3 linked regions of the Astyanax mexicanus genome follow. Each later gene encodes a partner of the first gene's protein in a complex. Links are inferred from orthologs where the notes say so. Each region holds a gene or a part of one and is shown in the gene's direction. Other genes may lie near its edges.

Region 1 (3,758 bases):
AAATATATATAAAAAAATAAAAGAGATAAAATAGCGGAAAAATCCAACCAATGAAATCGCGCGCATTTGGCGTGTCCCTTTTCTCTCACGCTACGTCATCGCGTAAGAACTCGTTTCCGCTCGAACTGGTTCTGCTCGATTCAGTTCATTGAACAGAGGCAACCGGCTTGATTCAGTGAATCGAACGTTGACGTGAACGATTCATTAGGTCTTCGTTTAATGGGTTTGTATTTTAAATAGTAATTAGAATTAAACTAGGTTTGCATTTTGCTTCACCTAATTGAGTCTGATCCAAATATTTATTAACGTTTTTAGAGTGTGAAATAAATAACTGTGTAGGACAGGATTGTATAATTAATTTTATTTTCTTCACTCTCAAAGAATAGTCAGTAGGAAAGTGTATAAATACTAAAGCTTTAAAACATATATTTTTTTTAAATGTCGGTGCCTACAGAAGTTGCTTTTTCATGCACAAAAATACTTTATATATTCGCAGATGGATTTTGACGTGTTGGTTTAGGATATTAGCATTGGTATCCAGAGATGTGGAACTACTAAAATACTGTATCTGAGTATTCTTATTTTTTTTTCTCCTGCTACCACTTTTACTTCACTGCATATTCATATTAATTTTTAACTTTCCTAATAATTTGATTTAACATAATATTTTCATAATATTCATGATAATTCACACTTGTACTTTTCTTATTTTAAAGCCTACACTTCTTCTTAGCTGTCAGAATGCCCTTGAAATGCTAAAATACTAATCTCTATTGAAGCTAGCTACAGTAGCACAACAGTCACGTCCTGAATTGAAGTTGAGTTGAATCTGCTCGACTGATTCATTCAAAAGAACCGGTTCAAAAGAAACTCGACTCGCTGACGAGTCGTTCCGTCTGTAGCTAGTAGTTTCCGCGCCTGGGGAGAAAATGGCGGCCGTGCAGGACGGAGGGAGCGAGCTGGAGGGCGAGAAAGAGCCGAAGCCCGAGCTCATGAACGATGGCTCCACGGCTCCGGCTGCAGCGCCGAGCTCCCGGCCGGAGGATCAGCAGACGCTGCTGGCCGTGCTGCAGTTCCTCAAGCGGAACAAGCTGATCGAGTCGGTGGACGCGCTGCGGCGGGAGGCGGGACTGGCGGACGAGCCGGAGGAAGCTCCGGGGAGCGAGGCTGCAGGAGGCGCCGGCGGAGCCGCGGCGGGGAGCGGGGAGCTCGGGGATGCGGGCGCGCTGCTCAGCCGGGTGTCTGGAGGCTCACAGAGCGCGGCGGCTCCGGCTCCGGCTAAAGGTGGGTCTGATAGAGAGGAGCTGAACAAAGAGAAGAGCTTCAGACTAAGAAACAGAGCTGCTCTCAAAACGTCAAAACACACATGCATGCAGCTACTACTACTATCACTACTGCTACTACTACTACAACTAGTAGTAGTAGTAGTGTGTGTTTGTGTGTGTTTTTGTTTGTGTGTGTGTGTTTGTTTTTTTGTGTGTGTGTGTGTGTGTGTGTGTGTGTGTGTGTGTGTGTGTGTGTGTGTGTGTCTAAACACAAATAAATAGTTGATTGAGAAACCTTTTATGGTTTCTTCAATTTCAAACAGAAAGCACCACTCGAGGGGCTTTGAGGAACCTTCAAAACAATGTTTTAGTCCATAAATGTTCCTTTATGCAACTTATGTTTTCTTAAAGGCTCCTTAAAGCACCTTTAGGGGTTCCTCCAACATTTCAATTACTAAAACCTTTCTTTAAAATTCCTCAAGCTGCTAATTAGTTCTGTTTGTACCGGTAACACTTATAACACAGGATAGTAAAGTTTATGAGGGCTAGTTGAAGTAGATGCTCATCATGTGTTATGACAATCTTATAACAAGATCCTTAATCTTAACTAAAAGACATTCTGCGTCATTTAAATCTTATTTTTATGTCAGTCTTATAACAAGATATGCTATTACAATACAATTTCATTTTCCAGCAGGACTGCCAAAAGTACCAATTGGTCTTATATAATATTCCAATTTTCTGAGACTCTGATTTTCATTGGCTTTAAGCCATAATCATCAGCAATAAAATAAATATACCCTTAAAATAGATCACTCTGTGTGTAATATATTTAAATATAATATATATGTTATGTACATTTTTAACTGAAATACTGAAATAAAGTAACTTTTTAATGATATTCTGATTTCATGTGTTGTCTGCAGGAGGAGATGACCAGCCGGACGTCAGCGTGGTTCTGTCAGCGTACAGTCAGCAGGGTGACCCATCCTTGTATCAGGTCTATTACAGCGGTTTGAAGAAGTTCATTGAATCTGTGCTGGACTGTCACAGGGCCGAGCTGTCGCAGCTCTTTTATCCACTCTTCGTGCACATGTACCTGGAGCTGGTCTACAACAACCATGAAAGTGAAGCCAAGTCTTTTTTTGAGAAGTAAGTGACTACTGTTGGGCAGGGCAATATATCAATCGTATATTTCATTATATTTAAACCCATTTTATACAAGATATAAAAATGCTTATATCATAATAATACCATCAGAAATTGCATTTATTTCCAAAAAAGATTCTACATGGGTGGTGTGTGTGGAAATGCTTTGGTGCAGACTTTAGTCTTGTGCATTATGTTGGAAAAGTGTCACAGTTAAAGGAGCAGCATGAAGACTTTCTCACACAGCATAGTCCAGTCAGTGAAATACTTATTTATATACTTAATAAAATTAGTTGTTTACTATTTAGACATACTGTATCGTAACATATTCTATTATCACCATTTATCTGAAACATATCGATATGAGGTTAATTAAGTAGGTAATTAAGTAGTTTTGGTCTCAGTCATGGCCCTGAAACGCCTTTGCCGTGCACATTTTATTGTTTTCTCTGATCTAACATCTCACACAATTCATTAGCACATAAGAAATCCCACTGAGATCTAGAGAGTTGGATGTTCTAATAGTTCTGCAGTGTGTTGACTGATATGGTCAGTTCTTCAGGCACTGCCTAGTAGGGGTGGGTGATATGGCCCTAAAATAATATCACAATATTTCATGGTAATTTTGCCATAATGATACTCTTGGCGATATGACAAAACACTGAATTAAAGAAAATATTTTAAGAATACACTACTGCAACAAAATTAAAATGAGGTTTTATTATTGCATATAATATGACATGACACACCCCTAACTATAATAAATATTAAAAAATACTAGAATTCTATCAGATTTGTAACAGAGGTCAGTGATCCAGAATGTCATGATACTAATAATGCTCTACATTTATACAGGATGAAAATAAAATCAGTTATACTGTACACATATATTCTCTCTCTACTGGACATATAATGGGAAATAAGTACAGTGTGAATTTTTCAGTGTTTGATCAGAGTATTTCTTGTAATTGTTGCCCAGAAACTCTCCTCCAGCTCCTGCCTAACGTTCCTTTTCATGTTCAGGTTTAATGGGGACCAGGAGTGTTACTATCAGGACGACTTGCGGGTGCTCTCAGGCCTCACCAAGAAGGAGCACATGAAGGGCAACGAGACGTTGCTAGACTTCCGCACGAGCCGCTTCGTTTTGCGGATCTCCCGCGACTCCTACCAGCTGCTGAAGAGGCACCTGCAGGAGCGACAGAACAACCAGATCTGGAACATCATTCAGGAGCATCTCTACATCGACATCTTCGATGGCATGCCTCGCAGCAAGAGCCAGATAGACAGCATGTCCGGCAGTTTGGCGGGAGAGGCCAAACGGGAGGACAATAAGACCAAGGTGAG
Region 2 (3,085 bases), on another chromosome or scaffold:
GTGTTTAAGTAGATAAACAGGCAGCCAGTTAGCTAACCTTACTAACTAACTATCAACATCTTACAGTGTAACCTAGAGTTAACCTGTCCATTATCCTGGTTAACCCACCGCTACCCAACAGCTAACCCAGCTAAACCTCAGTGTTCAGACTCTCTTACCTGGTTAACATTGTTCCCTCCAGTTACAGACTGTACTCCTAGTAAAGAGCTATGTTACCATAGCTGTTCCTGTAGTATGGAGTCTCGGGCTGCTGATAGTGATGATTTAATGGTAATGTATAGTTACTCAGGTGATCAGGGTCCGCTACACTCATTCACCATGGTATATATATAACTCCGTTCTGTTTTGGTGTCTGGCAGCAGCAGCAGCAGCAGCGGCCACGCTCCTCTGACGTGTACATGCAGTGCACCCCGGGAAATGTGGCCCGAACACACAGCCTATACTACACACACTACACACACTGGTAATTAGTGTGGTAGCTGGTGAACTTGTAATTAAACTGTAACTGGTATTAAAAGGCTGTTTTTTTTTATTAATTTTTTTTGTTCAAAACATTTTTTTCAGATCACAATTCAAGCTTTCAGCAAACACCCTTCGTCAATATTTATACATTACTCCAATACTGCAGGGGGCGCTGCGAGCGATCACTCGCCGCCAAACACGTGTTAAGATTTATTTTTAATTAAAAATACATATATATAATTTTAGGAGGTTCTAAAAATAAATAAATAGATAATAATAATACTAATAACTATTATTATTATTATACTAATTATTATTATTATTATTATTATTACAATGTAGAAAATAAGCATAATCAGATTTTTTTATTTTGAATGAGTGTGTTCAAAAAAATACTTTATTGTCACAAAATTATGAGTTTTTTTTATTTTACCAAATTGAAAACCTCTGAAATAAAATCCAGAAGAAGATGATTACAATCCATCAAACCAAGCTGAACTGCTTAAATCTCTGCACCAGGAGTAGCAAAAAGTTATCCAAAGCAGTGTGTAAGACTGGTGGAGGAGAACATGCCAAGATGCATGAAAACTGTGAATAAAAAACAGGGCTATTTAATCAAATATTGATTTCAGAACTCCTAAAACTTTATGAATATGAACTTGTTTTCTTTGCATTATTTGAGATCTAAAAGCTCTGCATCTTTTTTGTTATTTCAGCCATTTCTCATTTTCTGCAAATCCATGCTGTAAATGGCAATATTTGTAATTGGAATTTGGGAGAAATATTGTCCGTAATTTATAGAATAAAACAACAATGTTCATTTTATTCAAACGTATACCTATAAATAGCAAATCACTTATTCTTTTTCAGAGTTGTATATATGTTTTTCTTTTTTTTCCTGCAGTATGAAGCAGGTTGATGCAGTTGTGTGCAGATCTCTAGGTGGCAGCAGTGCTTCTATAGAGCTTCGTAAAGTCCTAGTAGAAGAGGAAGTGTGTGTTTGTGGCTGTAACGCCAGAGAAAAGGTTCTGTAGCTGGTTGGCGCTTAAAGTTACATAAGTAAGTTACATATTCAGGAAACTGCTTACGTTTTTTTTATACGGATAACAGTTAGAGTCTGAACAGTGTGTGTTTGTGTGTGTCCTGCCGTATCTGAATTGAGTTTCTGGTTGATAGTAGGGGACTTCAGCGCTACTGCGGGCCGCAGCACAAACATGGCTGAGGAAGACGATGATCCGGGCTTTGATGAAGATCTGGACGATGTTGGAAACGGTGTGGATTCAGGACACGGCAGGAGAAAGAGGCTGTTTTCTAAGGAGCTGCGCTGCATGATGTACGGCTTCGGAGACGACCAGAACCCCTACACGGAGTCAGTGGACATCCTGGAGGACCTGGTGATCGAGTTCATCACGGAGATGACCCACAAAGCCATGTCCATCGGGCGGCAGGGCCGCGTCCAGGTGGAGGACATCGTGTTTCTCATCAGAAAAGACCCGAGAAAGTTCGCCAGGGTGAAAGATCTGCTCACCATGAACGAGGAGCTGAAGAGAGCTCGCAAGGCTTTCGACGAGGCCAACTATGGGTCCTAAACTGTCTCTCACACACGAACAGTCTGTGGTGGTGGTTTCTCTACCACTGCTGGGTTTAAAACGACTTAAAAACTCAGTGTTTTGTGCTGGTATATTGGTCAGCACGTTTCACAAACATGTCCGGTTCTTATAAAATGCGTTTTTCCTGTTGTTTTTGCATTTTCTTTAACTGTTTGTATGTTTAAGGTGACCTACTTGGTTGAATTAAAGTTGGAACAGGTCTAGTAAAGTTTTAATTTCTGTAGGCTGATTGTATAAAGCACTGTGCAAAAGTAATCCCTGCTAAAAATACAGGTCAAGACCAGCTGGACTACCAACATAGGTCTGGATGACCAGCTGGTTCTTATCTGGATTTTTTTAAAGCAGGGATTGATCTTCAAATTTATTGCAGCTCTGTTATAACAATTGTTTTGTTTTTACATTTTCCGGCACCTGTGTGGAAAATTAAACAGAACCATCAACAAATAAATAAGCAGATGTTTTATTCATTTTTTAGCGTTTGTTCTTTTTGAAAAACACTTAGAATTTGTAAGTCTTGTAATTAATTTTTTTTCAAACCTCCTCCTGAAGTAGAGGAGTTCACTTCTTTCCTTTTAAGTTGTTCCAAACACACAATGTATTTTAAGTGTTTATTTAATTTATTGTTGGCGATGACTGCTTACAGCCAATAAAAACCCAAACATCAGTGACGGAACATTAGAATATTATATAAGACTAATAAATACTTTTGGCAGTGTGCCAAGTCCTGCTGGAAAAAGAAAACCACATCTCCATAAAAGTTATCAGCAGAGAGAAGCAGCAGATGACATGTCTCTCCAAACCATCACTGATTGTGGAAACTTCACCCTAGACCTCGAGCAGTTTGGTCTGTGTGTTTCTCCACTCTTCCTCCAGACTCTGGTTCCTTGATTTCCTAACAAAATGTAAAACTTACTCATGATCAACAATAGTTTTGAGCGCCAAGTCATCTGCTGGTGCTGGCTGCCTTTTGTGTAATATAAAGTACCAGTTGATTTTATATAATATAATACATT
Region 3 (3,758 bases), on another chromosome or scaffold:
GACAGGAATGAGTGTGACGGGGTTAAGTGTGCTTACATATGGTTACATTATGGTTGCTAATGTAAGCATATGTGTACATTAGCAACAGAAACTTAACATTAATAAATTGGCATTATTTATTTGTCTGATGTTGTAATGATGGTCAGCGCAGATATACAAATAGGTTTGATGTCTACAACTTTAGACACATTTAAAAAATAATAAGAGCAATGTGTACAAGTATTAAACAACTATAATAAAAGTCCCCAATCCAGAGCCAAATAAAAAATAGTAATACCCCTTTAAGATGATGACCATTTAAACTTCCAGGAGCTAACATTGTGTCCCATGAAAGCTAAAGAACGCTTTTTAACAAAATGTGGCTGGTGGGGAGTTTAACCTCTTTTAATGTCTCCTACAAACTCTTTTAATGGATAATTATTAATGTTATATTTTAAAGGCATATTTGACATGTGCCTAAATAGTATTCATCACATATGTTCAATAGTTTACTACAATTTATATAGGGAATATAAGTAATAAAGTTCTGTGTTTTGTTTAAATACATGTCATATTCCATGTGTGTGTAATGTACACAATTTTCCATGTAAATGAGTAATTTAAACGTCACTTTTATTCAGATTTTTTATATCTGTTTTATTTATTGGGAACTTATTTATCCGTTATTTTAAGATGAACATTTTATTCGATTTATTTATTGGATTTTTAAAAACATGTTTATTATTTGGAACTATTTTCATCCTGTTAACCTATTAGGAACTTTTTTTACTAGAACCATTTTTAATTTGGTTTATTTATAGAAAACCTTCATTCTGGTTTATGTATTTAGAACTTTTTTTAATCTGGTGTATTTATTGAGGACTTTTTATCTGGCTTATTTACTGAGAGCCTTTTTATCTGCTTTATTTATTGAGAACTTTTTTATTTGCTTTATTTATTGTGAACTTTTTATTCCTTTAGTTCTTAATTTATTTATTAAGATTTTTTTTCCGTTTATTTATTGAAATGTTTTTTATCTGGTTAATTTATTGGGAAGGTTTTTTAAATTTTTTTGGGAACATTTGTATTAGATTTATGTATGGGAACCTTTTATCTGGTTTATTTATTGAGTTTTTTTTATCTGGTTCATTTATTGGAAGCTATTTATCTGGTTTGTTTATTGAGAACTTTTTATCCGTGTTATTTATTGGGAGCTTTTAAATTAAGGACGTGTAGATGATCCCGCACATAATCGAGTCGCGAACGGTCTTGTGTGTGTGTTGTGCGCATGCGTGGAATCGATGACTCGACTATCGGTTGAGTGAGTGAATGATGGCGCCTGCTATGGAAGCGCTAACCGACCTCCTGATCTGAAGCAGCCCGGAGAAACAGCAGCAGCAGGAGCAGCAGGCCGGTCCAGCGCGTGTTTTAGCGGCTTGTTGTGGTGTGGGATATGCCGTGTCCGGCTCGGCGGGGCTGAGAGATGTGTGAGAGCTATGCCCGCGCTCTGCTGCGGGTCTCCGTGGCGCAGGTCTGCCAGGCGCTGGGCTGGGACGCCGTGCAGCTCTCCGCCTGCGACCTGCTCTCCGACCTGCTGGAGCGGTACCTGCAGCAGCTCGCCCGGGGCTGCCACCGCTACTCCGAGCTCTGTGAGTAGAAATAAGGGATTTACACATGTGAAATAGGGCTTAGGGGTGTGTTATGTGGAGTTTTGAGTGCAAGAATACTGATTTATCAGCTCTTGGAGCCAATGTTTTGAGTGTGCGCCTGGGCTCCAGGTGGTAGCTAGCACTAGGGTAGTCAGTGTTCTGACTGTTTTGGAGCTTTAATGGAGACATGTTCGTAATAAAACTGCATTCAGAAGCTCTCTTAGCTCTGTACGTGTGAAGAAACAGGTTAAAATGTTGAAATTCAGGCAATTATGCTTTTCCTGCTCCTCTGTTTGGGAACACTGGTGCACCAAAGCTGCAGAGCAGATCTCAGTGAATGTAAATAACTTAATACTTAAATGTCTGTTAAATAATAGTTCTTCATTTTTATAGGTTTGAGTAAGCTCTATATAGCTGTTTATCATACATTTCTGCATAAGTCTGATCTAAAACGTCCTAAATCTTGAAAGTGAGTAAGATACGTAGAACCAAATCAAACATGAGGCTAAATATAGTACACTTGGTCATGTTTTTATTGAGGACAATGATTCAATAGTGTATATGTGTAGTAAAACTATGTAAACACTTAGGATTAGGAGATAGTTTAAAAAATTGAGTCAGGTTTTAGATCCTCACCACCCATGTTTATGGAAGTGCATCATCTCCCACAAACAGGTGAATTCTGGGAACATCAGAGAAAGCATTGTTGATTCACATCAAGCTGAAATTGTTTCAATAACATCTCTAATGTTTGGACTCCACAGTCAGATAGATTACAGTTACATCATTACCTCTCCCAGTAGCATCCACAAAGAAAGATCACACCAAGTGCAAGGTGTGTAATAGTCCCCAAAGTCACAATGGATTCAAAATTACTTCTAAGCAACTTCTAAACCTTTCTCACATTGTATACAAATTATGTTAGTGTTAATTATCATTAGTCTTCTATCAGAAGAGCACTGAACAACAATTCTGTGCATGGCAAAGATGCCAGGCAAAAGCAGCTGTTCACCCACAGGAACATTGCTGCCCATCTGCAGTTGGCTTAAGATCACATGGACAAGCCAGAAGGCTATTTTTGTGGATAAATTGGTGCAAAATAGCTAGATCCTAAATTACATGTGTTGTGTTTTGAGACAGAAAAGCACTGGCTTCCTGTATAAAAATCTCAACTGTGGAACATGTTGGTAGTATCATGGTTTAAGCCTGTTTTGCAGCATCTGTCCCAGGAGAACTTGCCATTATTGATCGAACAGGGAATTTTAAACTAGTGTCAGGACGTCTGTCTGTGATCTAAATATCAAACAAATATGGTTATGCAGCAACAACATGGTCCAAAACACACTTATAATATACCAAAAACAGTTGGTTTTTGGTATATTAAAGAATTAGGTTATTTTTTTGGAATAAAGAACTCACCAACATAACAGGGCTGAAGCTGCTCTGTATGGAGGAATGGACTACAATTGTTTAGAGCTGATGTGCAGAACTAAACAACCATTTCTGAAAATATTTAGTCACAGTTATTGTTGCAGAAGAAAGCAAAGGTTTACATACTTGTGCCACTCATAGATATGTAATTTATAAATAATAAATAAATGACTGAGTTAGATATTTGGACTCATTTGTTTACTTTGGTTCTACTTATCTAGTTTCAGGTCATATTTGTGTTGAAAATATACTTAAATACTTCTAAAGGTGTTTAACAAGATGTTGCCAACTCAAGCAGTCACAATATTTAATATTCTGTAAAAAAATGTATGTTAGCAATATTTGCACTAAATGTCTTCTTTATGTTTATTTGGATTTATACTAATATTATATAGAGGTAAGTACAGGTAGACACTCTCACTGACCACTGAGTTTATGTTTATTTGGGTTATTCTAATGTTATATAGACTTCTAGTTTACTCACAGATATGTAATATTGGATAGTTTTCCCTTCATAAAAAAGAGTCAAATATAGTTGGGTTTTCCTTATCCATTTTTTAGACTTGTGTATGAAAATCTGATAATATCATAATATTTATTCTGAAAATATAAGTAGAAAACCTCAAAGTGTTAAACAACTTTCAAGCATCACTATAGTAGCTAAAATTGCCAACCCAAGCAGTCAATCATGAATATTCT

What was found. Proteins that work in one complex are often made in the same cells at the same time.
Region 2: taf5 (region 1) and taf13 share a complex: the UniProt entries of both Homo sapiens proteins name them as parts of the TFIID basal transcription factor complex. The link is inferred for Astyanax mexicanus from reciprocal best matches to the Homo sapiens genes TAF5 and TAF13.
Region 3: taf5 (region 1) and taf3 share a complex: the UniProt entries of both Homo sapiens proteins name them as parts of the TFIID basal transcription factor complex. The link is inferred for Astyanax mexicanus from reciprocal best matches to the Homo sapiens genes TAF5 and TAF3.

What each region holds. Positions count from the first base shown.
Region 1 is NC_064428.1:23,233,830-23,237,587, reverse strand, and holds the start of taf5 (transcription initiation factor TFIID subunit 5), read left to right. Parts: upstream 1-878; 5' UTR 879-929; coding exon 930-1,284; intron 1,285-2,191; coding exon 2,192-2,417; intron 2,418-3,437; coding exon 3,438-3,753; intron 3,754-3,758. UniProt on the Homo sapiens protein: The TFIID basal transcription factor complex plays a major role in the initiation of RNA polymerase II (Pol II)-dependent transcription.
Region 2 is NC_064420.1:35,143,068-35,146,152, reverse strand, and holds taf13 (transcription initiation factor TFIID subunit 13), read left to right. Parts: upstream 1-1,383; 5' UTR 1,384-1,521; intron 1,522-1,638; 5' UTR 1,639-1,676; coding exon 1,677-2,051; 3' UTR 2,052-2,539; downstream 2,540-3,085. UniProt on the Homo sapiens protein: The TFIID basal transcription factor complex plays a major role in the initiation of RNA polymerase II (Pol II)-dependent transcription.
Region 3 is NC_064409.1:21,105,398-21,109,155, forward strand, and holds the start of taf3 (transcription initiation factor TFIID subunit 3), read left to right. Parts: upstream 1-1,281; 5' UTR 1,282-1,462; coding exon 1,463-1,628; intron 1,629-3,758. UniProt on the Homo sapiens protein: The TFIID basal transcription factor complex plays a major role in the initiation of RNA polymerase II (Pol II)-dependent transcription.